Arabidopsis thaliana: one gene and its partners. The protein of the gene in region 1 interacts with the protein of each later gene in a pairwise test. Each region holds a gene or a part of one and is shown on either strand. Other genes may lie near its edges.

Evidence for each region.
Region 2: the proteins of SOB3 (region 1) and AT2G36930 interact in a two-hybrid assay, tested with the Arabidopsis thaliana proteins (one large-scale study listed by BioGRID).
Region 3: the proteins of SOB3 (region 1) and NAR1 interact in a two-hybrid assay, tested with the Arabidopsis thaliana proteins (one large-scale study listed by BioGRID).
Region 4: the proteins of SOB3 (region 1) and AT5G42110 interact in a two-hybrid assay, tested with the Arabidopsis thaliana proteins (one large-scale study listed by BioGRID).

What each region holds. Positions count from the first base shown.
Region 1 is NC_003070.9:28,701,171-28,708,762, reverse strand, and holds SOB3 (Putative AT-hook DNA-binding family protein), read right to left. Parts: upstream 3,801-7,592; 5' UTR 3,232-3,800; coding exon 2,323-3,231; 3' UTR 2,072-2,322; downstream 1-2,071. Other genes in the region: AT1G76510 (ARID/BRIGHT DNA-binding domain-containing protein), read left to right, coding at 1-82. UniProt on the Arabidopsis thaliana protein: Transcription factor that specifically binds AT-rich DNA sequences related to the nuclear matrix attachment regions (MARs). Acts redundantly with AHL18, AHL22 and AHL27 in the regulation of flowering and regulation of the hypocotyl elongation.
Region 2 is NC_003071.7:15,506,992-15,514,735, reverse strand, and holds AT2G36930 (zinc finger (C2H2 type) family protein), read left to right. Parts: upstream 1-3,128; 5' UTR 3,129-3,291; intron 3,292-3,372; 5' UTR 3,373-3,388; coding exon 3,389-3,579; intron 3,580-3,706; coding exon 3,707-3,769; intron 3,770-4,016; coding exon 4,017-4,193; intron 4,194-4,305; coding exon 4,306-4,368; intron 4,369-4,631; coding exon 4,632-4,734; 3' UTR 4,735-4,838; downstream 4,839-7,744. Other genes in the region: AT2G36920 (B3 domain protein), read right to left, coding at 5,248-5,898; ABCB1 (ATP binding cassette subfamily B1), read right to left, coding at 7,686-7,744.
Region 3 is NC_003075.7:9,266,814-9,275,071, forward strand, and holds NAR1 (ferredoxin hydrogenase), read right to left. Parts: upstream 4,857-8,258; 5' UTR 4,698-4,856; coding exon 4,572-4,697; intron 4,413-4,571; coding exon 4,345-4,412; intron 4,269-4,344; coding exon 3,928-4,268; intron 3,850-3,927; coding exon 3,723-3,849; intron 3,649-3,722; coding exon 3,483-3,648; intron 3,382-3,482; coding exon 3,332-3,381; intron 3,246-3,331; coding exon 3,074-3,245; intron 2,982-3,073; coding exon 2,855-2,981; intron 2,771-2,854; coding exon 2,676-2,770; intron 2,603-2,675; coding exon 2,450-2,602; 3' UTR 2,281-2,449; downstream 1-2,280. Other genes in the region: AT4G16430 (basic helix-loop-helix (bHLH) DNA-binding superfamily protein), read left to right, coding at 786-2,189; AT4G16442 (Uncharacterized protein family (UPF0497)), read right to left, coding at 5,229-5,480, 5,759-5,891, 5,994-6,157; AT4G16444 (tail-anchored protein insertion receptor WRB-like protein), read right to left, coding at 7,978-8,049, 8,123-8,172, 8,256-8,258. UniProt on the Arabidopsis thaliana protein: Essential component of the cytosolic iron-sulfur (Fe-S) protein assembly (CIA) machinery. Required for the maturation of extramitochondrial Fe/S proteins.
Region 4 is NC_003076.8:16,829,414-16,835,760, reverse strand, and holds AT5G42110 (uncharacterized protein), read left to right. Parts: upstream 1-3,403; 5' UTR 3,404-3,534; coding exon 3,535-3,627; intron 3,628-3,714; coding exon 3,715-3,810; 3' UTR 3,811-4,065; downstream 4,066-6,347. Other genes in the region: Mfl1 (Mitochondrial substrate carrier family protein), read left to right, coding at 1-189; AT5G42120 (Concanavalin A-like lectin protein kinase family protein), read left to right, coding at 613-2,688; BG_PPAP (beta-1,3-glucanase), read left to right, coding at 4,593-5,801, 6,233-6,301.

The DNA of each region.
Region 1 (7,592 bases):
AGTTAGTAAGGAAGCTGTTCCTTATACCTTCAAGTATGCAACCAACAATCACAGTGTCTGGTATATATCTTTTAGAAAATGAAGTTTTCATCTGTTTTCTCTGTTTATTTCAGTTTCAGGTTTCACATAAAGAAAACTTACAATTTATAGTTCAATCAAGTTAAATGGCTCCTATTGTAGGAGAGTACTGAAGTTTTATGGGCTGGAAGCTTTTGGGTTGAGTTAAATGGCCTGAAAATTAGGCCTTAGATGTGTCGTGTTGCTTTCGTGATCCACAATTGCATTCATATATATATATATATATATGATGAGGAAAGTCAAGAAAATTTTTTTTGAAGAAAAAAACTAAACATATTATTGCAACTTCCAATTTGCATTAGACCCAATATTATATATTTACATCTAACACGTTTTGTGATTTTTAGATATTCATGCTTATCTATTTTCTGTTGACATCAGACAAAAATTAGCAAAACATTCTATTGTAATAGTTAATAATATGTGACTATACTACTATAGTATACAATTTTTGTTTAAGTTCTCTCTTTTTACAACCGTGAGATTCTTGGTCGAATTCATACCAATCTTCAGAATTTATGAAAAAGTATGATATTATTTTCATGTAAAACAATTACAATAACAAATCATACTTAAAAATGTTGTAGTTCGAACCATGATCCTTTAAGTAACATATGTTCTTCAAGCTCTATGGCCCACACAATAGTGTAGACCTTCTTCTTTTTTGGGTGTAAAATAGTTAGTAGTCTAGATAGTGTAGAACATATGTTACTTAAAGGATCTATATATCTATCCAATCATAATTCGTATATATAGGGAAACCTTCACATTTACGTTTACTTATCAGCCGTTCGTATAAAACACACAATGAACAAGATTTCTTAACCCAATCGTTGCTCAACTGCATGTAAGGCACTTGACATGAGCACATGGATATCTTAAAAAGATAAAGTCACAGTGCATGTATCGAAAAGGTCTCAAAGTACATTACCCTTTATTCTCTTTACATGGTTGAAGCCCTAAAATGTCAAATATATGAAAATTATGAAAATAAGAGGTTTTTAAACCATCTCTCATTCTCATTGTATAACAGTAAACATGATGAGACTCCATTTCTTATATACATAAATGTCACCTGTCTTCTCTTAGAAGCTCATTGAAGATATTTCACCACAAATCTCCTTTGGACATGCATTGGTCATGTACAAGCTTTTCCTTTCACTTGATTTTCTTTTTAAATATACGTTTTCATACGGTCCATACATAGTTTCCCTAGGGACTTGATGCATTCCTCATTTTCACACATCTTTGTACTTAAAGCCCCACTTGGCTGTGTTGTTATAGACTTTCCTAATCCTCTAAAAGGAAACTGATAAATGAAACTCTGGGACAAATTTTTCATATTTTGGTTTTGGCAGGTCATGTAATGTTCTCGTGTTTAAGCCATTAACTTGTAACCGTCGAAAAATCATGTTTATATCGTTGTAACGGGTGGGCGAATCTTTTCTTATAATCGACAAAAATATAGTATGCAATTATCACAGTAACCGCTGTCTTTAAAACAAACTCATAAAATTCTAAATAGTTATTTAGTTTTTCGTAAAATTTCTAAAGCGTTATTTACTTTTTGGTAGATTCTTAACGCGTTATTTTCGTGATTAATTGATAAAAACGAAGAAATATTCATATTGATCTCATCGAAATACAATGTAGAACTCAGTTGGGTGAAACATGTACTAAATCAGAGATTCCATGCGTAAACAAGATATTCAATCTAGAGATTTTCAAATCATAAAATCTCGAAGATTCATGTATGGTATCTAGATGAATTAAAAAGAACAAGATGTTTGATTTGTTGGTTGATTACTTGATAGACATAGTAACATAGATTGAGTGATTACCTTTGATAACTACTCAAAAAGGGGATTACACATACCACATCCATGATATATACAAGTATGAGCCATTTCAATATTTCTATAAAATGTACTCAATAACTTTTTTGTTATCCAATTACAAAGGTAACTAAGTGATATATAAAAATTGGCTTCTAATAGCACTTTTATTGTGAACTCAAGCATATAACAAATAATATATAGGGACAGCACGAAACCCTAGTGATTAAAAAAGAAGAGAAAATGCAGATGGAGAAGTATATCATCTCAAGACGAATTCAAATATTCATATATGATCAACTAAATTAAAAACCAAACGATCCCCAAACAATGAAGATGATTTTTTTTTTCTTTTAATTTTGAGAAATGAAATTTGGTTACAGCTATGTTACGGACATAATTTTCAATTCTAAAAGGCTGGTCTTGGTGGTGCGGCTGCGGCTGCGGCTCCCCAACCAAGCAAATGAGGATCACCGGCAAACTGATCATAACCACTCATGTTACCTCTTAACTGTCCTTGACCGGCTCCAGATGGTGGTGATGATGACGTGGCCGGCGGTGGACCACCTTCTCCTCCTCCTCCCTCTCCAACTTCTCCTCCCTCTCCACCTTCTCCTCCTTCATCTTCAAGGGGAAGCCTTTCGAAAGTTGCATTAGAGAACGATGCAGCCATTAGTATCACTGGACCCGAAGCCACAAGCGGAGCCACCACGTTTCCTCCAATCACCTGACCTTGAACGCCGGAAAGAAAGATAGAAAGACCACCGGATCCTGGCGGCGCAGGGGGCGGCAACACCGTACCTGTGAGGGAAAGTATCTCAAACCTTCCATGTAGAGCCACAACACCTCCGGTTCCACCATTTGCCCCATGAGCCGCTGTCGTTGCCGGCTGCCGGAGACTGACGTTAGCCACCGTGCCGTTACCACTGAGAATGGAGACTCCTCTTCCTCTCCTGCGAGCGTAAGTGGTAACGCTCTCGACTATGTCGGCTCCAGATGAGACTTCAAGAACATGAGATCTAAGCACGTTGGGGCTATCTCTAGTCACTATCACCGGTGGCTTCGGCTTGTTCTTGGATCCCGGAGGACGTCCACGTGGACGTTTCCCGGTTGAACCAGAGGTAACTGGGTCGGAACCCGGATCCTTGTTGGAGTCAGATTCATCATCTGAATTCTGCTGCTGAGGCTGAGGTTGAGGCTGAGGCTGAGGCAAAGGGTGAAGTTGAGGCTGAGGTTGAAGCTGGTGATGAAGCTCAGGCCTGAAGAGGTTGTGAAAGTATCTAGAAGCTCCTCCGGATTGATCGTAACCACCGTCCATGGCAGCCGCATCTACTGACTCTTCTTGTTCTTGTGGCTCATATATATAAAGATATTGTGAGGGTGAAGATAGAATTCATATAAGAGAAACTTTGAGATCCATTGGAGAAGTCAAATTTCAGGAGGTGAGGAGCCAATAGCTTGAGTTGATCGGTTACACAAGCCGACAAAAACAGAGCTAAGAGACACAAATCTAAAGGGTATGCTTTGTGTGTTAAACCCTAACTCGCTTTAGGGCAAGAGAGGAGAGATTCTTCACCCGAGACGGTGTCGTATTAATTGATGTGAAAGAATTCTAGGGAAGCTTCAAATTAATTCATGTGCTGAGACTGAGAGTGAGTGACTCTGCAAGTACTTTTTTTGAACGAGGAAAGGGAAAAAAAAAGCAATAGACACACCGAAAATTTAGCTGAATATCATTCCTTTCGCATTAAAAAATAAAATACGCATAGGGGCATATATTAATATACGAATAATTGCATATTAATAATATACTTGAAATCCATGAAAAGACAAGGGTTTCGAGTTTTTCTTCTCTGGATATATGCGTTTCCCTTTTTGGCATATAGCTTCAAACCAAGAAAATAAAGGAAAACTTTTAAGAGTTAAAATTTAAAGAAAAAGGAAATTAAGAAATTTACAATTTAAAAGCCAAAGGTATATGAATAGGAGATGGAAGAAACATGCTGATATTAAATTGTTGGAATTTTTTTTTATTTTTTTTGATAAAGTTGTTGGAAATTATTATATAGAAAACAAACGAGAAGTCTAAATATAAATTATTGTATAAGTTTTTGAAAGTTACATATCAAATTTGTCCGCATAATAATGCAGTATTCCCTAGAAACAAATGTAATACTCCCACCATTTATCATTATATGCTGTTTAAAGTTAATTAACATATAGTATTAAAATTTAATTAAAGTTTCACTTCTATCTTTCATTAATACACAATTATATTTCTTTCATCAGTTAATACGTTAGAAAAACATAGATTTTTTTTTTGTCAATCTGTTAGAAAAACATAGATAAGACATGAAATTTTAACAAAAAAAAATATTTGCATTGAAAATATAAAATAAAATTTATCCTGAAACAAAATTAAAGTCTTAAAACGACACTTAATTGAAACAGAATAAACAGATGACAAAAAGTAAAATAAAAGTGAATCAAAAATGTTAGCCATGAATCGAATTGCCTTGAAGCGTGTGCATGTAACGCCTTCCATTATGAATTTCATCATTTTCTTTAAAACCGAGATTCTACCTATTCAAAACTAAATTCAGTTTCAAAATGTTTTTGGTCTTGGTCATATATTCTAAAACTAATTAAAAACTATTACCATGAGTGAGTGCACTTCAATTTTTATTAAACTAATTATAAATTATTATTGATAGTAAAAAAAATATAGACCAAACTATTTATTATCAATGTATATTAACTTTCTAAGTTAGAAATTCATGAAATTCGATATAATCTACATAAGGTACCCCAAAAAAGTGTATACAGATTTTAAGTGGGATTTGTTTAAAATAAACATATAAAAAGCATCATCTCTCCAGTGACATGTGTTAAGTTTCTACATTGAAAATTTCATATTTACATCAAAAGTTTGAAAATATCAATATTATATAGGGTAATATTAGAAAGTAACCATGGAATTGAAAAGAATTGAGAGAATAGCCTTGTGTCAGGAAACTTAGGTAAATAACATTTTCTATGGTGGATAAAATACTAAAATATCCTTAGATTTTCTTGTTTTTACAAAAATATCGGTGGTTGTAGTTATAAAGTTTTTATGTATTTGTCTAAAATAATATGATATATTTACAAAAGAGCATGCAATTCTTTAAAATACATACAGAATATATATACACGATATATATGTTTCTCTGAAATAATGTGTTTTTCAGAAATAGCACGAAATATTTATAAAAAGCATGCAATTCTCTTATAGATTGCGAAATTTAAAAAATTACAATATTACATGGGTTTTTATTGGATAACATGACAAATATTTATTTATTTCATGAGTTTTTGTTGGATAGCATGACAAATATTAATATATTAGTGTTAATAACATGTTTTGTTCTTAAAATACATGCATTTTAAAATCAGATATTTGTTTTAAAATCAAATTTAATCTCTTATATCACAACGACATTGACGGAGAATTCAGGTAAAAAGAGAAAATAAAGAATGAGAGATAGAGAGATTTCTATGGAAAAAGAAAGAGAGAACATGTGGGTGAACAAAAATAAAGAGATATGATGATATATTTTATGAGAGGTGGTGAAGATTATTTTAGGAGAGGGAGAGAGAAATAGAAAAAGAAAATGACATGGTGAATCTGAAGAAGATGAATTGTGTTAAAGATGAAAAGAGAAAGAGAACTCTATGGCTAAAGTCTCGTAAAGAACATGAAAAAGAAATAAAAGAAGGAAGAAGAAAGAGAAAGGCTAAAATAGACTAAATATTGCCAAAATTTCTGTAACCGACAAGTACTATTTGGTTCTAAGTTATTTTGTGTATTCTTTTCAACTCAAAGGTTATTTCTTACATATAAATATGAGTCAAACCATTCTTTGCTTTTTTTGCAATTTATGAAACACATTTTTAGTATGTTAATAATTATAATCTAAATGTCTTTTAAATTTTATCAAGTATAGAAAAAATTAAGACGTTTTTTTTTTCTCTTTTTTTCCTGTCAACGATGTTCATTGGACCTCCTCTCTCAGTCTTTTGCTAAGAGGTGGAACTTAACATTTATTACACTATGCGATAATGTATTGCAAATTAAATGTCTTTTCAGTATTCTAACATAGAAGAAAATAATGATCGAGATTCATTAGTTTTGTAATCGAACTCTCGTGTTTAGAACACCACTTATTTTAACAGATTTGAGCTAATATGTTCATTCTTTCAAACGTTGAATATGAACTATATTTAGAAAACTATTGTTATACATAATTGCTTTCAACGTTTAGAATACTTTTAATTATTTAACCATACATTAGTTGGTTAATTAATTAACAGCATTTAATATTAATTCGCACACATATTCCCTCCTCTATGCTACTACTTGATCTTGGTAGTACCAAGCTATATATATTAAAGAAATTGAAATTCTTACCAAAGTTTCCCCACTTGTTTGATAGGTATTAGTATTAATTATCCACTTTTACTGTACCAGCTAGAAGGGGGTCGGACATAAGTAAGAATAATTTAGACGATAAGAACGAATAATCAACGATAACTATTTTCTTAGGATACTAAATGAATATTTTAGTGTATTAATTTTTTATTTTACGATCATCTTATGGTTGTCTAATGTGTATGTAAGGTATAAGTATGTGCATATCTAAATCCATTTGTGTGCACGCATTATTCGATGATCTAAACAGGTTAGTATTTTAATTATTTACAGTTTGCACGAAAGGATTCATGTGAAAGCTTATAAAATATGCAGACGGACAAACAATAAGAATTGAAAATGAGTTTAGCACTTTCGATTGAGATATTTTTATTTTGATCATAGTATATATTACAATGGAATGATATATCATATATTTGTGGACAAATGATGCATTAGAAAAAAACTTTCGATATAAGTTGATCTATCTAGATGTAGAAATGAAGTGTGGATCTTGTTGGAACGAAAAGGAGAAATTGTAAAGATGTGCGGATTTAGTTACCTTTGAAGCAGTCTCTTTAACGTGGATGCATGTGCCTCACTTAACCAAGTAGTCTCAATCAGAACCGTTCATTTACATGACCGGTGACAATCGGACGATTCATGACGTGACGATGCAATCGCACAGTCTGCTTGATACACACGTGCACGGAGCAAAAGTCACGTGCGGTCAAAATGTCAGAGCAGAAGCTGAGCTGTTGTTACCACGTGGAGGTGGTCGGAAGCATCGGTACTTGTTCCACGTGGAGGTTTCCCCCAATCTATCTTACCACACAAAGGTATTTAATACCTCGAGTTACGTTTTTCACATATTTATATAATTTAATTTCTCATATCCTAACCATCAAAATTCCATTACGTTTTTTTTTAATCATAAGTTTTGTTAAGACACCTACGGAAGTTGAGTTCTTTCTAATCTGGATCGGCGCTGATAAATTTTTTATTTTATTTTTATTTTAGGTTTTGAATATGGGCCATAATATTTTTTAGTACAATTGGCGGGTCTGTATCTATTATTTATTAATGTTTTGTTTTTCTTGAAAATGATTGACTACATGGTTATAACATGATACACGACATACCAATATATCATCAAGTTCTATTATAATAGTAAAAACAGGATTTAAGTCTGAATTAACTGATTGAGAATCGAGACCATAACTATATTG
Region 2 (7,744 bases), on another chromosome or scaffold:
TATCAGTTTAAGGTAAAAATACATTCGACCAATTGTCACAATTCAAAGAATATACATCCTATACCTTATCAGAAACAAACTTTAGTTAGAAGATTTCATGGCCTTAAATACGAAATCAAATCATTTTATGAAGTCCGGTAATTCGTTTATTATTACAAGTTCATATAGGAAGAAAAGTGATGTTTTAATCAAATCATTTTTGTATTTTTGAATCACATCATTTTTGAAATTTTATCAATAAAAAAGAATTTGTAAAGAGATTAAAGATAAAGATAGATTCTTTTTCTTCTGATAAATGTGTATTGGTTAAAGTCATGATTGTGCAAATTGCATAGTCTTTTCTCATTGTAAGTGAAGTTGATGGAACCTCCTCTTCTCTTCTCTTTTATGTTTTATATTATTTAAAAAATTCATTTTAAGAAGTGATTTACTACAATTGATTCAAAAAAAAATCTTCTAACAGATTTCCCAAAAAGTTTTAGATATTTTGTTGTATTTTTAGGAAAAGAAACCAAAATTTATGATATTAAAATACCACATGTTATATTATATGATCCAATAAACGCATATTAAGATCAGATCAAAACTTTAAAATACAAGCTATACGAGAAGTCGCACATGGTTTTAATCTGTCAAGTAGTTTGACCGATTAATATATTTGATACTAGTACATAGAAGAATTCGAGACATGTGTGTGTAATGTACATATATTACTAAATTAACATCAACAAAAATGTGTATCATATATCTGAACAATTTTTTAAAAAATTGTATATGTTTTCGAGTATCAAGAATGTAATTTCACGTTTCGTTGTAATACACTATTCGTATCACTATCACCTACTGGCATACACTACTTTACATAATTCGTTCAGCACCAATAGCTTATATAATTATTTTTTAAATTCTTGCATAAATCAAAAGAATTTTGCTCTCCTAAAGAGCACAATTAGTGATTTTAATTAAATGATTACTTTGGTTTTGTTAGTTTCAGCTTCATGGAAACAGCCAAGAACCGCCTATCTACAAAAAACATGGGCTGCGGTATAGAGATAGAGACAAGAGGAATTGCAATATTAACTCACTGAGTTTTTACTTTTCTTTGAATGCTAACATATTGGGTTCGCTGTGTGAAAATTGAATTTTATCTGAAAATCTTTCAACTGCATAAACAGTAAAAGGATAAGAAAAGTTAAAAAAAAAAAATGTCCCAAGGGTTGCGTAATTGCGTTTCGTTCCTCCTTTCACCGGTCCATTTTGTCAACATCATGTTTCATTGTGTTTTGTTGATTTTTTTTGGTCATATGGTCCTATGAGTGACGTAATACATGAGGTGGACACATATTATTATATACACATGAAATATAGAGTTTGATTGAGAACTTTCTTGTCTATTATCTAAAATCTTTCGTAAAGTTAACGATCACAATGACCACAAACTTCAACGTACGTAAGTTTGTGTTTGTATTTTGAAAATCGATGTTTGGATCTTTTGAAACGTTTTGTTCAGTAATTTGGAAGTTTAGGGTAGAAATGGTCACTTATTATATGTAGCTAAATACGATTTCAACACATACAAACTACAAAGATTTGTTTTCGTGTTCCACAGTGTAACACGTCAGGCTGACTTGGATAATTTTAACTAACTTTACCAAGGTTAATATAAAACATAATCACTAATTGCAACATAAATAGACCATTTTAATTTCAGGTTGCAATTAGAGATTATGGTATACACAGCCACACAAAATCAAGAAAAATATGGCAACAGAAAATCGTCTCGTTTCAACCCTTTAAGTAGTTTCATCCATCCATATGGTGCCATTTTAAGTACACATGCAAGTCACCATTTTTCCTCATATTTTTTTGGCAAGTCTCATTGCTCGCCTCTCGTTGTAGCTTACAAAAATGACCATTCAATATGGTTATAAACCATCTTCATGCGACTGGCAAAAAAAAAAAAAAAAAAAAACCATCTTCATGCATGTCAGTTTTTTGTTGCTAGAAAGTTCGCCGTACATATTTGTCTCTCATGTAAAGGTGAAAATGGCTGTAACATGGATTAAACTATTAAAGATTCATTTTATGAAATATAATTTCCATTCATTTTGCTAGGAAATAATGAGGAAAGAACAAATTAAAAGAAATTTGTGTTCATCACAAAACGATAGCAATGTTTACGGAATGGAACCTAAAAGTAAACTACAGTTAGAAAGTGAAAGAAAATAAGATAATCAAAATGATATACAGTAACTTGGTCTTAGGAGTCTAAAGAGTAAAATCTATCTGATAATTAAGACAACATGAAAAAGATGGGCTATAGAAACGTTTTGAAATCAAGTTTAGTGGGGGCAGAGACAAAGTAGAACCAACTCATCAAGAACTCAATTTTAAACATCTAAATGGATCTCCATGCAACATTATTACACTAATAAATAATATGAAAAGTTTGGATTTGGTACCGGTCTGTTTCACTATCATTGTTACAATTATTGTATTCCTCGGCAGGAGCACCTTAGTTTATTAGAACAATTAGACCCCATTGACGAACCAATATGGTGTAGAAGTATCTGGAAAGAAAAAAGGAACGTCCCACATTTCAAACAAATCTTGCTAACCACGTATTATCTAGCTGGAGGAATGAGAATGACACATTGTCCTTGCTCTAGATGTAAATCCACATAACATAAGTAGGATCGGTTCTATTAAAACATTAATTGGAAAGCATTTCAAACTCGGGATAGTAAGTGTGGTGGAGACATGACGTATTGGTGACAAAAAAAATTATAGAGAGAAGAAACAAGCTTCAAACCCTCCCCAAGACAACAAAACCATCATTGTGGGGAGCATTAAGAGTATGCAACGCAAAGAGGCCTTTCATTCCCTTGCTCTCTCCACTTCTAAGAATTTATTGGTTTCTTGTTATACTAATAAATTAATGGAACCCTAAAAACAAGGTTATGAGATTTATCAGTAAACCTACGCTTCTGTCACTAATTCGGTCCAAGTACATTGCTAGAACTCTGTGACTTATCTTACAATGCTATTTCAGAATAATTTCAGACTAGATCTTAATTGGTTCCGTATGTATTACTGATTTCCAAATCATTAATTATTAATGGGCCTATCTAAGCCTGTTTAATAAATGGGCCTTGCGTCAAAGTCTCCATCACTGAAACCGCCCTTTTTAGGTTAATCAATACTTTATAACCGAAACTGATATTTTTTCTAGGGTTTCCTCTTCCGCATTCGTCGTCTTCAGCTCCTCCTACACAGTTTCTTCTCTGAATCGTAAGTTTTGAATTAATCTGCAAATTCGTTTAGATTCTTATCAATTAGTCACTAATTTTTCAATTGATGATTCGATCTCAGTACTTAGGAAGCTAAAATGGGTAGATGTCCGACTAGAAAAGTGAAGAAGAGGAGATTATCTCACAAAACAGCTCGCCGTGACAAATTCGAAGTCAAAGGCGATGACTTGGTTTACACAGAGTTGCGTAAACCGGAGACGGAGATTAAGCCGTTACAGCTTGACGAGGATTTGCCTGGAATGGGTCAATTCTACTGCTTACACTGCGAGTAAGAGAGATTCTATGATTACTCTATTGACGATTCTTTTGGTTTATGAAACTTTTTTTTAGCAAATACATTATCTTTGAATTACTCTATATGACCCATTTGTTTGTTTTACCTTGATATGTTTTAGTCGATACTTCTCCAACGTATCAGTGAGGGATGATCATTTCAAGACTAAGAAACACAAGAAGCGGTATGTGGATTCTTCTCCTTCCTTGGCCTTGGTTTCTATTTTGTTTTGTGTTCTTGGAACTGTGTTTGGTTCTTGTGCTCGTTTACTTTCTTGCTTGCAATGTTAAAGCTATTTCTCTTCACTTCTGTGTACCTAAAGATGTTTTAGCATTTGTAATTTGATTACCTTTGTATGATTATACATGTCTGTTGCAGTGTTGCTCTGTACTCAAGACTTATTATATGTGTTTTGTCCACTTGGATTGCAGTGTGAATATGATGATGGGACAAGCGCCACACTCGCAACTCGATGCAGATTTAGCCGGGGGAATGGGGATGCCGGACAATGGCCCAAAGCTGATGTCTAATTTGGTATTCACAGAGTTGCGTAAACCAGAGACGGAGGATTTACCTGGAATGGGTCAATTCAACTGCTTACTCTGCCAGTAAGATTATATGTGCAAAAAGACAATCTTTGAATTACTCTAGATTTCCATGTTTGTGTGAACATTTGTTTGTATTTGATTGACCTTGTCTCTCTACCTTGATATTTTTCAGTCGGAACTTCTCCAATGCATCAGTGATGGATTATCATTTCAAGACTAAGAAACACAAAAAGCGGTATGTGGATTCTTCTTCCTTGGTCTTGGTTTCTATCTTGTTTTGATCTTGGAACTGTGTTTGGTTCTTGTGCTCGTCTACTTTGAATTCATCTTGCTGGCAATGTTAAAGCTATTTCTCGTCACTGGCGTAGCTAAAAATGTTTTAGCACTTGTAACTTGATTACCTCTGTATGATTATATTATTGATCTATGCATGTCTGTTGCTCTGTACTCAGACTTAATATCTTTCTATTGTCCATTTGGATTTTTGTGTGATTGCAGTGTGAAGAAGATAGAGCGACCAGCGCCACACTCGCAACTCGATGCAGATTTAGCTGGTGGAATGGGAATGCCAGACAATGGTCCAAAGCTGATGTCTGCCTGAGTTTTTACAGTTATTTTCCTTATTTAGTTAATGGAACCCGAAATTTTGTTGTAAAACTATAATCTCCTAAATTAATGATACAGGTTTTTTGTCTGTTGCCAAGTATCTATCATGCAGTTACTGGTTTAGCTTCACTTAGAAGTTTAAATCTGATAAATCATATATTGTTTGTGTTGGTTGCATAAAAAACTTAACCATATAAGCCATACCAATCGTTGTTTTGACAAAATAGAAAGAACAAAACACTAGCTCTCTCAGCTGCTGATATGCGTTTGTAATTGAGATCACATTATGCAGACCTTGTTCTCTTCCGGGGAACTATTGCCTTTCCACGAGCAATCACGCCAAAGTGAAGCCTAGAAGCAGAAGAATCCCATAAGAGTCCTATATCGTCTCTTTCTTTCAAACTTCTCCTTTTGGATAAAATCTTCCAGCCAGTCACCCGTTAGAACATAGGTATATTGTACTGCCAGACGCAGCTCATGCATTGTGCTCGTGTCGTTGTCCTATACCTTAACAATGAGTCCGCTTTTGCAAATCAGCTTCAGGCAGATGTCCTCGAATCTGCTGTTCGAAGAAGCTTCTGGGCAGACGAAGTTGGCCATAAGTAGGGTTAACATTATGCTCGGTCAGTCTCTTCTTGATGGTCCATTGAGGTGCGTTGTTGACAAGTCTAGGGATAGGCATCATCGTAATCTCTATTCCATCTCTTGCTACCTTCAATATGGATTCAATGCTCCCAAAACAACGAAGAGAAATGTTACTTGGGTCTCCCAAAGTGTCAGAATTGTTTGTGCCATGTTCTTCACCTGAAACGGTAAAAGAACATAACATCGACTCTGTTGATAAAAAGGCACAACCACAAGAACCTCCTCCGAAATGGAAAGGATTTAGCAGGTTTTCAGTGTTCATGGTGATGTCATTACTTTCGAAGTAGTTTTGGTTTTTCGAGAATGGACCATGTCGACTGTTAAAGGCTTCTTTGTCTCTGTTCATCGGAGAAACAGAGGAGCAAGACGTTTCAAACGGTTCTTGGCTCATAATTTGCTTCTCTGTTACCTTGGATGACAAGAAAGACAAATCTTGAGGGCGCTCTCGTGGTTCTTGACTCGTACGAGCTCGATTCTTTTCCGATGGAGATGTACAATCGTCTGAGAATGACATTCTCGTTTCGCGATTTCTTCTTCGTCTAAGAGAGTTATCGTTATAACGATTTCACAGAGATACTGTATGAGGGACTAATGAGACCGCAAGTGATGATATATATATATATATATATATATATATATATATATATATATATATATATATATATATTATTCGCAAAGGCTAATCCAAAATGTTGGCAAGGATTCAAATAAAAGAGTGATAACATTTTGAGAAAACCCCGCCGCTAAGGCATCCACCAAGAAATTCTAAATTAAGTGTTACACAGACAAGAGACACTCAAAGTGATCGGGAAAAGTATGCAGGCCCTCTAGTGTTTTGTTTCCAAGCCCATAACGGAGCCTAAATTCATCATCCGCAACACCTTGATAAATGACTCTTCTAACGCTGTTCCTCTTTGGATTAGGAATAGGCGTAATAGACTTGAATATCAAACGGATCGAGGTGCAAATCTCATCTTGATCTATACCATTTCTCTGCTTGCGCATGTTTTATCTTCAGAGCTTTTCTTATGTCCCACTCCCAGTATCCATCTGTTGCATATCTTTTCATTATTTTTAATTTGCATTTTCACGGTGTTCACAAAAATATAATCTAATCTTACAAAAAAAATCTTGCGTTGATTTGTAAAAGTTATAAATGTAGTTCAAGTTCCAGTATCCATGCTACTTTACATAAAAAAAAAATAAGAGTAAAAAAACCTTGGTGACATTGTTAAACTTTTATTAATAGAAAGTGGGGAATTCCAGTACTGTAGCTTAAATTATTGGCCTTCTATGAATTTCTCAATTAGTGAACGACATGTGCCGAGAGGAGCTAGTGCTTCTTCTTCTCCACCACTATAATTTCCAAGTTTGTTCATAATTAAACACAAATTTATTTGCATTCAACAGCTAAAACAAAGTAGTCATCATCATCATGGTGTGTGTCCCATATGCATATATGTGTGTGTGGTCGCACGCGTGTGTTGCACAAAGAAACGAAGTCAAGAATTGTTTTGTTCATAAAAAGTTATATAAACACAAAAGAAATGTTGTCTTTTCTTTCTTTTTTTCATTATTGTTTTAGCTTTGGGTCTCATCATCTCATTCAATGTCCTTTTTGGACCCATCTTCTTTTTCTCATCTTCTGTTTTCTCATCTTCATAATTTTGTTCCCCACGTATGTTCGTGTGTCTATACATCTAAAGCATTCTTTTTGACAATATTGTCATAGTTAATTATTTATATGCTTACATTACTAATCATGATCTAGTATAAAAGCATGATGTACACACAATAGATTTTAAAATAGACCCACAACATTCGAGACCCATCACCCATCTAACCAATACAATTAAAAACCTTAAAAGATTACATTTTCATCATATACCATAATATTTCTTTTAGAACGGATCTCATGATTGAAAAGTTAGGCTTATCCTGAAATCTAGAACAAGACCAAACCAATATATATGGTAACAAGTGCCTCGATGATTATGAGATACATACCTCTCATCATCACCTTCTTCACTTCACTAGAAAGGCAGAGGCTCATAGATTGATATGGCATATAAATGGATATTACAGAGGTGAAAAATTAGATTAATTATGATAATACACAATAATAATACTATACCATCAAATCTGAAACGTAGTTCCAAAAATAAGTAACCCCAAAATCAAAACAGAAAGAAAAAAAGAGAAAATGATGAGTTCGTAGAGTTTTTTATCAGAAACATCTTCTGGTGTTTGTTGTTTTTTACTCTCCTTCTTTTTTCTTCTATATGACCAAAGTAGTAAGTACTAAGCATCATCTTCCTTAACCCTAGAACTTGAACCTGACGTCATACCAATCACTTGTG
Region 3 (8,258 bases), on another chromosome or scaffold:
GTTTGTCTATATTAGACGCGATTAGTTCTTCTAAACCACATTATCCAAAAAAATCGTGATTGACTACATGGTGTAATGATACCTATCATACCATCTCAAGAATATGGCATGACTCATCCAATTAACAATTGTATTTGCGCATAATTGTAAGATGTGTAAATTCCTTTTCCGCTTATTAACGGTGATTTGCGATAAGTTAATTCAGAAGACGAGTTTCGATTCTCCCATCATAATAGGTTGTACTACGAAATAATTTCCCAACATGTACACATAATCTCGACAAAAATCCAGTGATATGGGTTTACTTGTAGTTGAATAGATATTACACCACAATGACTTGTGGTTTGGTATGTAAGAAAAGGCAAAAGTATAGTTTGCAGTTAAAAAACTGAAGGAAATGATGTCCTTGGTATTAAATTACGATTAAACCCATATTCTCTCTCTCGCATAGTCTCTTCCTCTTTTCTTCTTTCTTCGTCAATTTCAGAACAAGTCACTACAGATCTGAAGTGAACCAAGCTCAGGTTTTGTCTTCTCTTTGATCATTCCTTTCTCAGCAATATAAATTAGAGTTATATCCTTTATAAAGGATTTTGCTTTTTCACCAACAAACCCTAAATTCGGTGTCTCAGCAAGAATCACGTGATTCTCGTTCCTCTTCCTCACGAAACCCATCATCTTCTATCTCATTTGTAAGCAGCGATCTCAATCCAAATACCTTTAATTTTATTTGATTCCATACCCTAATTTTTGTATATTCCATGTCAATGAACGTTTCAGGAGAAATGGGTCAAAAGTTTTGGGAGAATCAAGAAGATCGAGCGATGGTTGAATCCACCATAGGCTCTGAAGCTTGCGACTTTTTCATCTCAACAGCTTCAGCTTCCAACACTGCCTTGTCCAAGCTTGTCTCACCACCAAGTGATTCCAATCTCCAACAAGGGTTACGTCACGTTGTTGAAGGATCTGATTGGGATTATGCTCTTTTCTGGCTAGCGTCCAACGTTAATAGCTCTGATGGTTGTGTCTTGATCTGGGGAGATGGTCATTGCCGTGTCAAAAAGGGTGCTTCAGGTGAGGATTACTCTCAGCAAGATGAGATCAAAAGACGTGTGCTTCGCAAGCTTCACTTGTCGTTCGTTGGTTCAGATGAAGATCATCGTTTGGTGAAATCAGGAGCTCTTACTGATCTCGACATGTTTTATCTGGCTTCTTTGTACTTTTCCTTTAGGTGTGATACCAATAAGTACGGTCCTGCTGGAACCTATGTGTCTGGGAAGCCTCTTTGGGCTGCAGATTTGCCTAGCTGCTTGAGTTATTATAGGGTTAGGTCTTTCTTAGCTAGGTCAGCTGGTTTTCAGACTGTGTTGTCTGTACCAGTGAATTCTGGAGTTGTGGAGCTTGGTTCTTTAAGACATATTCCAGAAGATAAGAGTGTGATTGAGATGGTGAAATCAGTGTTTGGTGGGTCTGACTTTGTTCAGGCTAAAGAAGCTCCTAAAATCTTTGGTCGACAGCTGAGTCTTGGTGGAGCAAAACCTCGGTCTATGAGTATTAATTTCTCCCCGAAGACCGAGGATGACACGGGTTTCTCATTGGAATCGTATGAGGTGCAAGCGATCGGAGGCTCTAATCAAGTGTATGGTTATGAGCAAGGGAAAGATGAGACATTGTATCTAACTGACGAGCAAAAGCCGAGGAAGAGAGGGAGAAAACCAGCAAATGGAAGAGAAGAGGCTCTAAACCATGTGGAAGCGGAACGGCAGAGGAGGGAGAAGCTGAACCAGAGATTCTACGCTTTGAGAGCGGTGGTGCCTAACATCTCCAAGATGGACAAGGCTTCGCTCCTTGCAGACGCAATCACTTACATCACGGATATGCAGAAGAAAATCAGGGTGTATGAAACAGAGAAGCAGATAATGAAGAGGAGGGAGAGTAATCAGATAACTCCAGCAGAGGTTGATTATCAACAGAGGCATGATGATGCAGTTGTAAGGCTAAGCTGTCCGTTGGAAACTCATCCAGTTTCAAAGGTGATACAAACGTTGAGGGAGAATGAAGTTATGCCTCATGATTCCAACGTGGCCATCACAGAGGAGGGTGTGGTTCACACATTCACTCTCCGGCCTCAGGGTGGCTGCACCGCTGAGCAGTTGAAGGACAAGCTCCTTGCCTCTCTATCACAGTAACTATCACAGCAGTAACTGCTATGTAATAAGTGTAACCGTGTTGGAGGTTGTATCAATGTACTATTGCAAGCCAACCAAAAAAAACTCCAGCTTAGTAGGATCGTGTAATTTTCCTTATATGTAATGTTGAGATTTGTCTTTTACATATAAAGATTTGAGCAGAAAGCTTCACACTTATCTCCTATCTAAATACACAATATAGAACCGTTTTTGTTGCCTTGTCAGTCAAAAAATTTGAACACTTCCAGTTTGTCTACGGTCTACCAGTTGTTGAGCTGCGACGTAACACTTTTCACGACCGGATGGTACTGAGTATGCAAGTACTTCTTCGCCTCGTTGGAACCAGGCTCTTTAAGCCACTCCTCGAATAATCTCTTCGCCGTTGGATTCTGGTATGGATCTGTATTCAAAGTCTGGATCCAAAAGGGCAGGTTATTTATTACTAGCTTAGTTAAAAGTGATTTATGAGACTCAAGGATAACTTACAGTATCATTCATATAAGTAGCTTCCAGTGAGTGGATCAGTTCTTTCTGGGACTGTCCTGTCTTTGGCTTGATCTGCCCACCACCATTTAGGCAACCTGTTGAGAGCGAGCATTTTGGGGAACGGTTAATAAGTCAACATATAAGACACGTTTTTCAACTAGGGTTTGCAGAAGATGAACCTGCAGGGCACGCCATAATCTCTACATACTGATAATCGCATTTGCGCGTTTTCACTCTCCGAACAATATTCTGGAGGTTCTGGAAACCGTAACACAGCGCAAATTTTAACACTGTTTTACCTTCCAACTTCAAGAAAAAGATGACGAACATGAGACAAATCCGAGGGGGATTAATGAGAGAAAATTTCAAAACTGTTCATAGTCTGGCTAAGAACTTACTTGAAGAGTCACTTCACGGAAATCAGAATTTCTGAGAGTTTTAAACTCCAGAGGACCTTCAATAGTTTGTCCAAATAGTGCTTTTGCCGCATGTCTGAATATTGTTTCTGCATAACCACCAGAACTCCCAGCTACACCATAAAGATCTCCTTCCTCAGTAACATTCGTCAGCCTGTTTTTTGCATGAAAATGGAAATGTTTACTTCGTATGTATTCATCACCCACTAGCAGAGAAGAGGAAATAATAATGCTTCTTACACTCTGTCAAGTGGAGATTCCTCCAAATCTTTAAAGTCAACTCCTTTCAACTGCACGACACATATAGAAATCCAAAATCAAATTCACATTTTCTGCGGTATGGAAGCAGAATTACAATGAAAATAGGGTTTAATCTCTATCACAGTATCACCTTTATTAAATCCATGATTTCACCCGTTGTTAGCACGGAATCAACTTCTGTCAGCTTAAGGTCTCCATTATCTTGTGTTCCATCATCAAAGACAAAATCATCTCTTGCTGCCTCGAGTTTCTTATCATAACAGGGCATCACAGTCACATGGTACACCTCATGCAGCCTAGTTCCATGAAATGCTCACGTTGAATCCAAAATTTCAGAAAGGTAACCAAAGATTCAAGTGTACCACCGTACCTGAGTCCTAATGCTTGACACAGATGGTGTTTGATCGCAGCTCCAATAGCTTGCTGAGGACTCTTAACAGAAGACACATACGGCAGAACATATGAGCCAAGCTGCTTTTCAGCATAACAAATCCAACCTTGATTCACCAAAATTTCCGCACGTTACTCTCACATAGTGACACATAGCATTACGTCAAACTAGTAAAGTTGCTTACCAGGACAGGCAGAGGAAAGCACAGGGAGAGGGGATTGAGAATTTTCACCATCATCAGAATTAGCTTGCTTATAACGGCTCACAAACTCATTACAAGATTCAATAAGTACCAAATCTCTACTGCAGCTAGTATCAAACACAGCTTTAACTCCCAGAGACTTCAAAAACGTAGTAAGCTTCTTGAAAACCTGAAGAGGAGAGATGTCATAGTGAACCGCAAGGGAAGCTCTCGACTGTGGAGAAACGGACACAACCACGTCCTTGCCTTTGCTAAGAGCAGAGAGAAACTCGTCTAAGCTTTGCTTCTCAAGCATAACTGTCTCAGCTGATGTGATGCATCCACTGTATAATCGTATACATAAACCATTACACTCTAAACTCTAAAACTGACTCAGACAAAGTAAATGAGAGGACAAACCTGCAAGCCAAGCAATCCTTGAGAGAAATTTTAACCGGTTCAAGCTGCTGTTTTGGGGCAATCACAACCTTCAAATTCAAATTAGCACAGAGAAGGACACGTTTAGCTAGTGAAGATATATATAGGATTCATAACAAAAGACTAGGATATGCTATTCCCTAAAACACAAAAAGAGACTAACTTGAAGAAAGAATGAAATTCAATGGCAAAGCATGGAAATTTCGGACCTGGGGTCGATCAGACTTCTTGACGATGGGTTTTGAGTCCTTAAGAGATATGACACAAGCTTGAGACGGAGCAATGAAATCGTTGAGATCTCCGAGCCTCAAAGTCGGTGAAAACTTCTCTGACATATCGCTTTCTATTCAAAACTTAAAAATCTAATCTTTAGAGACGAAGAAACTAGTATAACCAAAACAAAGGAGCAAAGATTAAGGATTGGTGTCGGAGAAGCTGAGGGTATCGGAAAACTAGAACGGCGTCGAAAGGTGCTTTCTTCCTCTATTGGTTCTAAAATTGCAAACTGGGGTCTCAAATTACCTAAAAGGGGTTGAAAAAGTCAAAAATGTAAATTGCATAGCGGGCCTAGTAATAATCTTATTGTGTAAGGGCCTAAATGCAAATAGAGAAGCAATAGAGGTCGGTGACACAATGAGGGTGATGCTTTGCTCAACAATAAGTCAATAACCTTGGTCTCGTTTTTTATCACAGCATATGGCACATTGACACAGAACATCAATAGTCTAGTTTTACATATTGTTTGTCACATATAACATCATCAAGAAGAAGAAGAAGAAGAACCAACAAGAGCCTACACTTTTGTTACTATATGTTTTTTTAACAACAACATTTTCAACACTACTAAAGACAAAGCCGCATTCACTTCACCACGGCGTGGTTCTGCGGTCTTTGGTGGCACCGTACAAGCGGAAGAGACTAAAAGCAGAAATGCAGGAGACGAAAACCATAGCAATGGAGGCTAACAAGGCGCTAGAGACTCCTATAGCCATTTGGTTGCAGAACTTTCCATACATAGTACACACTCTCATCCATTGCAAATCTTCCTCTCCTTCCCTAGCAATCACACCAGACTCTGCTGTTGCTGCAATGGCTGCCACATTCAAGTACGCCATCGCCTGCTCATTCAAAATCACAACTACACTCTTAAATGGCCAACGAAACTTCAATTCCAAATGCAAGCAAACAAGCAACATTCCTACCTAAGTTAATTCAATTCTGATATCCAACCAAACCCATTTAATGCTTAGAGACTTTTCAACATAGTACCCTACTTTTCTCTAATTTGACCTGAGATCTCAAAATAACAAAGCCAAACCCCAAAAATCCCACATCCAATTCACTAATTTTGGCAAACAAAATGTATGTAAAAAGAGAAACACAAACTAAAACTCACCTGATCACCAGAGAAAAAGGCCCAAGCAAGAGGCTTACTAAACAAAACCTTTCCTTTCATCGTACCCACCACGCAACGAACTGATTGCAACAAAGAATAAACCGCAGCTATCCCATTAGCCACCACCAAGAACCTGCATCAATCAATCCCAACAATAACAACAAAAAAGTTACAAACTTTGCAATCTATCTCAAGTCAAAGTACTAAATCCGAAATGGGTTTATGATAAGCTTACACAACCGCCTTCATGTCCGTGTACTTGGCCGTCTTCTTGATAGTGAAGATAAGCTTGACCTCAGTGTCTGTCACAACTAGAATAAGCGCGAGGAGAGCGAAGACACTGATGGAGCACCGTAAGAGCAGCTCCGTTAACCTCATTCTTCGATCTATTAACTTCATCTTGCTTCTGTATCCTCCAGGACAGATTTCGGCCCCCAAAATAAACTCACTTGTACTCTTAAAAATCCGATTTTGGACAAGACAAGAAGACAGGTTCCGTAGAGAGACTAAAGAGAAATAGTGTCCACACTCGGCTTAAGGCTTTAAATAGAGAGTTCCATGCTTTTACTTCACATCGCTTGGGTCCTTAGGCTTTTATTGAAAAATATCACCAAAATTGAAACTGTGTTAACGAATAAGTTTGCTACTAGTTTTGTGTAAATTAAGGCTGGACAAATTAGTTTCTAGATTCAACTAGTTACTAAAAGACCAACATATGAAGTGAAGTGTTATTAGTTATTGTTATCATTTTTACTATTATTACCACCGTCTTCATTTTTCACTTTTTACTATTTGAAGGAAAAAACAATAGATGAATTCACTGAATAGTTCATAATGAAAATACTTTTTTTTTTTCGTTTCTTAAAAACTTATGGTTTTTTTCGTTTTTAGTCTTTTAGAGGAGAAAATTGGATATTTGAAACTTTTCTAGGAATTCAACTTTCTCTTAAGTAAAAGTGTAAAACGGATCACATAATTTAGATATCCTACAAATACGGATACTTATTTCTTACATGAAATTTATAGTAAACCAATTATATCTTCACAATGATCTCATTTTGTCGTGACTTCTTGTTTTAGAGTAAACTTTTAATATGCTATTGAATTAGGGGTGATAGAGAGACACAGAAACATAGTCCCTAAATCTGCCAAGTGGTAGAAAAGTTCTTGTAGACGTTACTACGTATATTATTATGAGATGCATTGAATTGAAATGTGCATGGGTTCTGATCACAAACCCAAAACACAACATTTTTCTAACATCCCCCCTCCCTTAAAGACGAAAGTGAGATATCACAATGACCTTTAGGATTAATTAAATTACAATGCTCCATATTTGTCTTTTAATGTTCTAGGAAAATGGAGAGAAGAAGAAGAAGAAGAAGAGAAGATTGTTATCTATCCCGAGGAGATTATTAAATTATTAAGATGGGACTTTGGATGCCCACATACACAACTATTTAATGAACCTTCTTCTTATTTATTGCACTTCCCATCTCCCAATTAGCCCCTCTAACCAAACCCTTTTCTTTGGTTCTGTCTTATTAACTCTTACTAATAGGCTTAACCAAATCCAATCAAGTTCTTTGATTTAGAAAGACAAGTGTAGATGATGTGACACGTGCACGTTCCTTTCAAACCAAACAAGATACTATGATTTAAATTGTTTTCCTTAATTAAGTAATGTGGTGGTTGGAAGTGGATATTATAATGCCCTCGAATTAATTGCTAAAAAGATTCTCCCATTAAACTTTAGTGCCTTCACCAAGCTACCCACTTTTAATAATAGTAAGTATTTTTATTTCTCTCTTCCATTTTCGGTGATATAATGCTACATCTTAATGAACCACATGCATTGGCATCGTGTTGAATAAGTACACGCGTCTTTAGAATCTGATTTTACAAAGTCGGTGTTACAAGATAAAAATTGACAACACGTAGAGGAATAGAGACAATGTGTTTGTTATGGTGTATATATACACATTGGGTAAATATTGGGGCTGCTTCTACGGTAACAACCTGCTCAACTCTCAAAAACGAACTACTTGTTATTGGTAAAATCCAACAAACAACCAGAGAAAAAGAGTCATATAAATATACATTGTTAAGGAAGATTAGGAACAAAAAGAGAAGCACAATTTCTGCCACAAGTGTCTCCTAAAAGGCTACAACTTTGAACTCAAAAACCATCCAATCTTCACTCTTTTCAGGGATGCGATTTAGAACTCCACGAACCTACACACATATTTGCTCACTCTGTTTGAGAGTATGAGCCACGGTATGATCCCGACCTGCATTTTTACCCAACCAACACTCTCAATCAAGAACAAGCCCAAATAAATGGATTGAGAAGAAGGAACTTACCATTACATGGCCTGTCATGTGACCTCCTGTTCCCCAAGATAACAAAGTCCCTGTGAAACACACCACATTCATTTTTTTCCTATGTGTTATATACCATAAGCGAGCTTTAACCTGGTAAAAGTAAACTACTCACCAA
Region 4 (6,347 bases), on another chromosome or scaffold:
ACAGTGAAGCAGATATTGACAGAGGAAGGTTGGGTTGGTTTTACCCGCGGCATGGGACCTCGAGTTGTTCACAGCGCTTGTTTCTCTGCGATCGGTTATTTTGCCTTTGAGACTGCTAGGCTTACAATCTTGAATGAATATTTGAAAAGGAAAGAAGAGTCTGAAGCTAACGTTGCTGCTGATTCTTGAGTTCGGTTTTTGGTATAGTCAGATGAACAGAGGGAGAGTTTTTGCTTGTTTCTCAAAAGAAGCATCAAGTTTTATCCAGAACCAAGCTTGGATTCTAAGAGGTTGTTACTAGCCAGATTCTGAGAGGTAGATTTGCTTCTTTTCTGTTGGGTTTAGTGTCTCCATAGTTTTGATTTTGTCACAATTACATTGCTCCATTTGTGTAAGACGATCTTTAATCATTTGCTTCACTCTCATTCTAGATTTATTCATTCTCATTTTTGTCTCTATAACCAAGCGCTTATAAAATTATCATCCTTTACATTTCATTACAAAACCATCTTGGAGTTAATAATAATCGATTTATAATTTTCTCTGCCTCTCTTAACCAAAGATCAGAGTTCAAGAAAATAACACAAACCACATGACACAACGGGAACCAAGATGAATCATCATCATTACTCTCTCGTCATCTTCCACCTAATTCTCTTCCTTTCCCTAGATTTTCCCACACTTTCTCACCGTTTCTCGCCGCCGCTACAAAACTTAACTCTCTACGGCGACGCCTTCTTCCGCGACCGTACAATCTCACTAACCCAACAACAACCTTGCTTTCCCTCCGTCACAACACCACCGTCAAAACCATCTTCCTCCGGCATTGGACGAGCTCTCTACGTGTACCCAATAAAGTTTCTCGAACCTTCCACTAACACAACCGCTTCTTTCTCTTGCCGCTTCTCCTTCTCCATCATCGCTTCTCCTTCTTGCCCTTTTGGTGACGGCTTCGCTTTCTTGATCACGTCTAATGCTGACTCATTCGTCTTCTCTAATGGCTTCTTGGGTCTACCAAATCCTGATGATTCTTTCATCGCCGTTGAGTTTGATACTAGATTTGACCCGGTTCACGGTGACATCAACGATAACCATGTTGGAATCGATGTTAGTTCAATCTTCTCTGTTTCTTCCGTTGATGCGATTTCGAAAGGGTTTGATCTTAAAAGTGGGAAAAAGATGATGGCTTGGATTGAGTATAGTGATGTTCTTAAACTGATTAGGGTTTGGGTTGGGTATTCTCGTGTTAAGCCTACTAGTCCTGTTTTATCAACACAGATTGATCTCTCTGGTAAAGTTAAAGAGTATATGCATGTTGGTTTCTCTGCTTCGAATGCTGGTATTGGGTCAGCTTTGCATATCGTTGAGCGGTGGAAATTTAGGACCTTTGGGTCTCATTCTGATGCGATTCAAGAAGAGGAGGAGGAGAAAGATGAAGAGTGTTTGGTTTGCTCAGGGGAAGTTTCCGAAAATCCGAAGGAAATTCATCGTAAAGGTTTCAACTTTAGGGTTACAGTTGTTGGATTAAAGATACCAGTTTGGAGTCTTTTACCTGGTTTGGCTGCAATTGTTATCCTCGTGGCGTTTATTGTTTTCTCATTGATTTGTGGCAAGAAAAGGATTAGTGAGGAAGCTGATTCGAATTCGGGGCTTGTTCGGATGCCTGGAAGGTTATCCTTGGCTGAGATCAAATCCGCGACGTCGGGTTTCAATGAGAACGCAATCGTTGGTCAAGGAGCTTCTGCTACTGTCTATAGAGGCTCTATTCCTTCCATTGGATCCGTGGCCGTGAAGCGGTTTGATCGAGAACACTGGCCACAATGCAACCGTAACCCTTTCACCACAGAGTTCACCACAATGACTGGTTACTTGCGGCACAAGAATCTGGTTCAGTTCCAGGGGTGGTGCAGCGAAGGAACAGAGACGGCCTTAGTGTTTGAGTACTTACCTAACGGAAGTTTAAGTGAATTCCTACACAAGAAACCCTCATCTGATCCATCAGAAGAGATCATAGTACTCTCTTGGAAGCAGAGGGTAAACATCATTCTCGGTGTGGCTTCCGCACTTACATATCTACACGAAGAATGTGAGAGACAGATCATCCACCGTGACGTCAAGACCTGTAACATAATGCTTGATGCCGAGTTTAACGCCAAGCTTGGTGATTTCGGGTTAGCTGAGATATATGAGCACAGTGCGTTGCTAGCTGGACGAGCTGCTACACTCCCAGCAGGTACTATGGGTTACTTGGCACCAGAATACGTGTACACAGGTGTGCCCTCTGAAAAAACAGACGTGTACAGCTTTGGAGTGGTGGTTCTGGAAGTGTGTACGGGGCGTAGGCCGGTGGGGGATGACGGGGCGGTGCTTGTAGACCTGATGTGGAGCCACTGGGAGACAGGGAAGGTGCTGGATGGGGCTGACATCATGCTGAGGGAAGAGTTCGATGCAGAGGAAATGGAAAGGGTGTTGATGGTTGGGATGGTTTGTGCGCATCCTGACAGTGAGAAGCGGCCAAGGGTGAAGGATGCTGTGAGGATTATACGCGGGGAGGCGCCGTTGCCAGTTCTTCCGGCGAGGAGGCCTTTGTTGAGAATCCGACCGGCTAACGAAGCGGAAGAGATGATTGTCGATGGTTTGGTTGGGGAGGATCTTCCTTGGATGACTCCTAAATCGCACTTTAGCTGATTCCTTTTTTTGGGGCTTTCTGTAATTGGTTACATTTTAGTTTGAGATTTGGAAAATTTGTAATCTTTTTTATTTGTCTAGTTTTGGAAACTAAAGATTATAAACCTCCCGGAGTAATCAGTATTTCATAACTCAAATAAATAGATACATCAAGTACATTTTGTTATAGTCTAACAAAACATTAATTCATATTTATTACCCAAACAGACTCATGATTTGTACAGCATTACACGGTTGCAAAAAACTGTTAAATTCTATTGACATACATACACGGGTGAAACAACGTGCATGCAATGGTGGTAAATGGTAATAAGTAATAGCAATGGATTTTAAAATACTATTCTAATTTACTAGTTCAATAACACACAAAAATGGCCTTTTGGTTGCATGGTTTAATACTATACTAGTGATAAGCCCGTTATTGGACCAAGAAAGTCTTGATTATAATATACTGAGTTATTGGACAAAAAAAAAGAGATAAATAACTAAATTTGTATGGTTTGAAATATTTTTCCATTATATTTGAGATAATTTGATAGTTCCACAAATTGACCCACTAGATGAGTCAATAAAATAATTCAACCATTGAAAATAGATTATCGAACAACTCGAATCAAATGCACCGTTACGATAATACCACATTCCAACGCCAATTTGTTTTTTTTATTAATAAGTACTTCTCTTTTTTAATTATTTTTGTAATGGTGGAGAAAATAAAAAGGAAGGGCAATATTGGGTTTAACTGAAAATTTGATATTAAGAAAAGCCTGAAACAAGGCGCAACACGCAGCTCCAGAGAGTCGGTGGTGGTGGAGAGATCCGGCGTCGTCGGATCCGAAGAAGAAGATGAAGGTTTCAAGCGGTGTGGTCGCTTCTGTCATTGCCGTCTCCACCGCTGCTCTCTCTTCTTCCTCCATTCTTCCTCCAGTCTCCCCAAAGGTTTTTCTTTCTTTTTTAAGATCTGCGATTTCGACGATTTCAATTGTTCTGTGGTTTGAAACTGAGATGTGGATATGAATTGATCAGGTTTGGGAATCGAGGAAAACGAATGGGTCGGACAATTTCGAGCCGAGGTTTGATGGGTTAAGGTTCATAGAGACGCTGGTCACAGCACACAGATGATAAGATTACAAATACCATTCTTCTTCTTCTTCTCTTGGGTGATGCAAAAGCTTTGTTTTTTCCATTCAAAGCGTGAGTGCGTCACTTAGGTCTTTAATCTTATCATTCTCATCTTCTCTTTTGTTGTCTTCTATTATCTCTGTAATGAGAATTTATTAACATTCTTTTGCTTTCAAGGGATATGCTAAATTGAACTCTTTCTTGTTGTGAGCTAAACTTTATTCATATGTTGGTGTGCTTTTACTTTATATGAGACAAAGCAATGTGTGGCGATGGCTCTAATTGGTGTTTTGAATCATTGGGTTGTATCTGGTTAAACTTTAAAGAGCCGTTCAAGGTCATCAACCTAGTTGGATTTAGTCAAATTCTGGTGTATTGGAAAAAAGACTAGTTGAAGCAAACAGGCTGTTGAAAGACATGAGTGGTAGATGTTCTAGTTGGTGTTCTGTCTCCATGTAGCTGTCTCAAATACCTAGCAAGTGTTGTAATGAGAGCACCGAGAGAGAAGAGGACAAGAATGATCTGTCATAAGAGAAGTGAGAATCCGAGAGGAAGCAAAACAAGAAAGATGCTCTCTCCTCTACTGCTTGCTCCAGAGACACTGACTTCCAGCTCATCCAAACCAACATTACTCTTTCTCTTTCTTCTTTTCAATTATTTCTTTATTACTATTTCACTTTGAAATTTAGTGAATCCTAACGCTCTGGTCCCATCACTGCCTCCTCTATCATCTTGCTCACAACCACTCACTACGCTCTCTCTCTCTCTCTCTCACTTCATCTATGGCTTCTTCTTCTCTGCAGTCTCTCTTCTCTCTGTTTTGCCTTGCTCTGTTCTCTCTTCCTCTCATCGTCTCCTCCATCGGCATCAACTATGGCCAGGTCGCTAACAACCTTCCTCCCCCTAAAAACGTCATCCCTCTCCTCAAGTCTGTGGGAGCTACAAAAGTCAAGCTCTATGACGCCGATCCACAAGCCCTACGTGCCTTCGCCGGCTCCGGCTTCGAGCTCACCGTGGCCCTCGGTAACGAGTACCTGGCTCAGATGAGCGACCCTATTAAAGCCCAAGGCTGGGTGAAGGAGAACGTCCAAGCTTACCTCCCAAACACCAAGATCGTGGCCATCGTAGTGGGAAACGAAGTCCTCACCTCAAACCAGTCAGCCCTCACGGCAGCCCTCTTCCCGGCTATGCAAAGCATCCACGGTGCTCTGGTGGATTGTGGCCTAAACAAGCAGATCTTTGTGACGACGGCTCACTCACTAGCCATCTTGGATGTATCCTACCCTCCCTCGGCCACTTCCTTCCGCCGCGACCTCCTCGGCTCCCTCACTCCCATCTTGGACTTCCACGTCAAGACTGGCTCACCAATCCTCATCAACGCCTACCCTTTCTTCGCCTACGAAGAAAACCCCAAACACGTTTCTCTCGACTTCGTACTCTTCCAACCAAATCAAGGCTTCACCGATCCTGGCTCTAATTTCCACTACGACAACATGCTCTTCGCTCAGGTCGACGCAGTCTATCACGCTCTTGACGCTGTCGGCATCAGCTACAAGAAAGTTCCCATTGTCGTCTCCGAGACCGGATGGCCTTCCAACGGTGACCCGCAAGAAGTCGGAGCCACCTGCGACAATGCTCGCAAGTACAATGGGAATCTGATCAAGATGATGATGAGCAAGAAGATGAGGACGCCTATACGACCTGAGTGCGATCTCACCATCTTCGTCTTTGCTCTCTTTAACGAGAACATGAAGCCTGGACCAACCTCCGAGAGGAACTACGGTCTCTTCAACCCTGACGGAACTCCGGTTTACTCACTTGGGATCAAGACCTCTTCCACTCATAGTAGTGGTAGTGGTAGCAGCAACTCCACTGGTGGTAGTAGCAGTGGCGGTGGCGGTAACACTGGTGGCTCTTCCAGCGGTGGTGGCATCTATCAGCCAGTCACGGGTAACCCATCACCGGATTACATGTCCATTTCCTCCGCCGGGGTAACGTTTTCGACTTTACACTTCATTTGTTGTTTTACTTTGACAATTTTCGTAGACATTTAGGACTAGAAGGTCGTTACTGTTAAGTTGCATATTTAGACATATTTTGTCACTCTATTTATCTGTTTTGTTTCATTTAAACAATAAATTTAGTGGTAAAAGAAAAAAAAATCACAAAGCTCGAATAAGGAAGGATTAACATTGTGGTAAAGTTAGTGACTTTTGGTTAAAAAGTTGGAATCTTTATTATAAACTCGAAAAACTGTGACAATGTGTTTTGGATTGGTTATCACGTGGAGATGACTCTTGTTTTGTTACTTTTGTCTGAAAATATAATTGATTTAGAGTGCCTCACTTTTTGACTTGTTGACCTCTTGAATAAACGAATTAAAGGAGTGTGACATAGGCAATGCTTGTTGACGTTTTTGCAGGGAAAAGGCAGATTCGTTGAGTGTGTGTTGTTCTTCTTCTTGCTTTGCATCATCAAGCTTCGGTTGTAAAAGCTTCTCCACTAGATCTCGTCGGCTTTGTACTTTTACTCGGTTG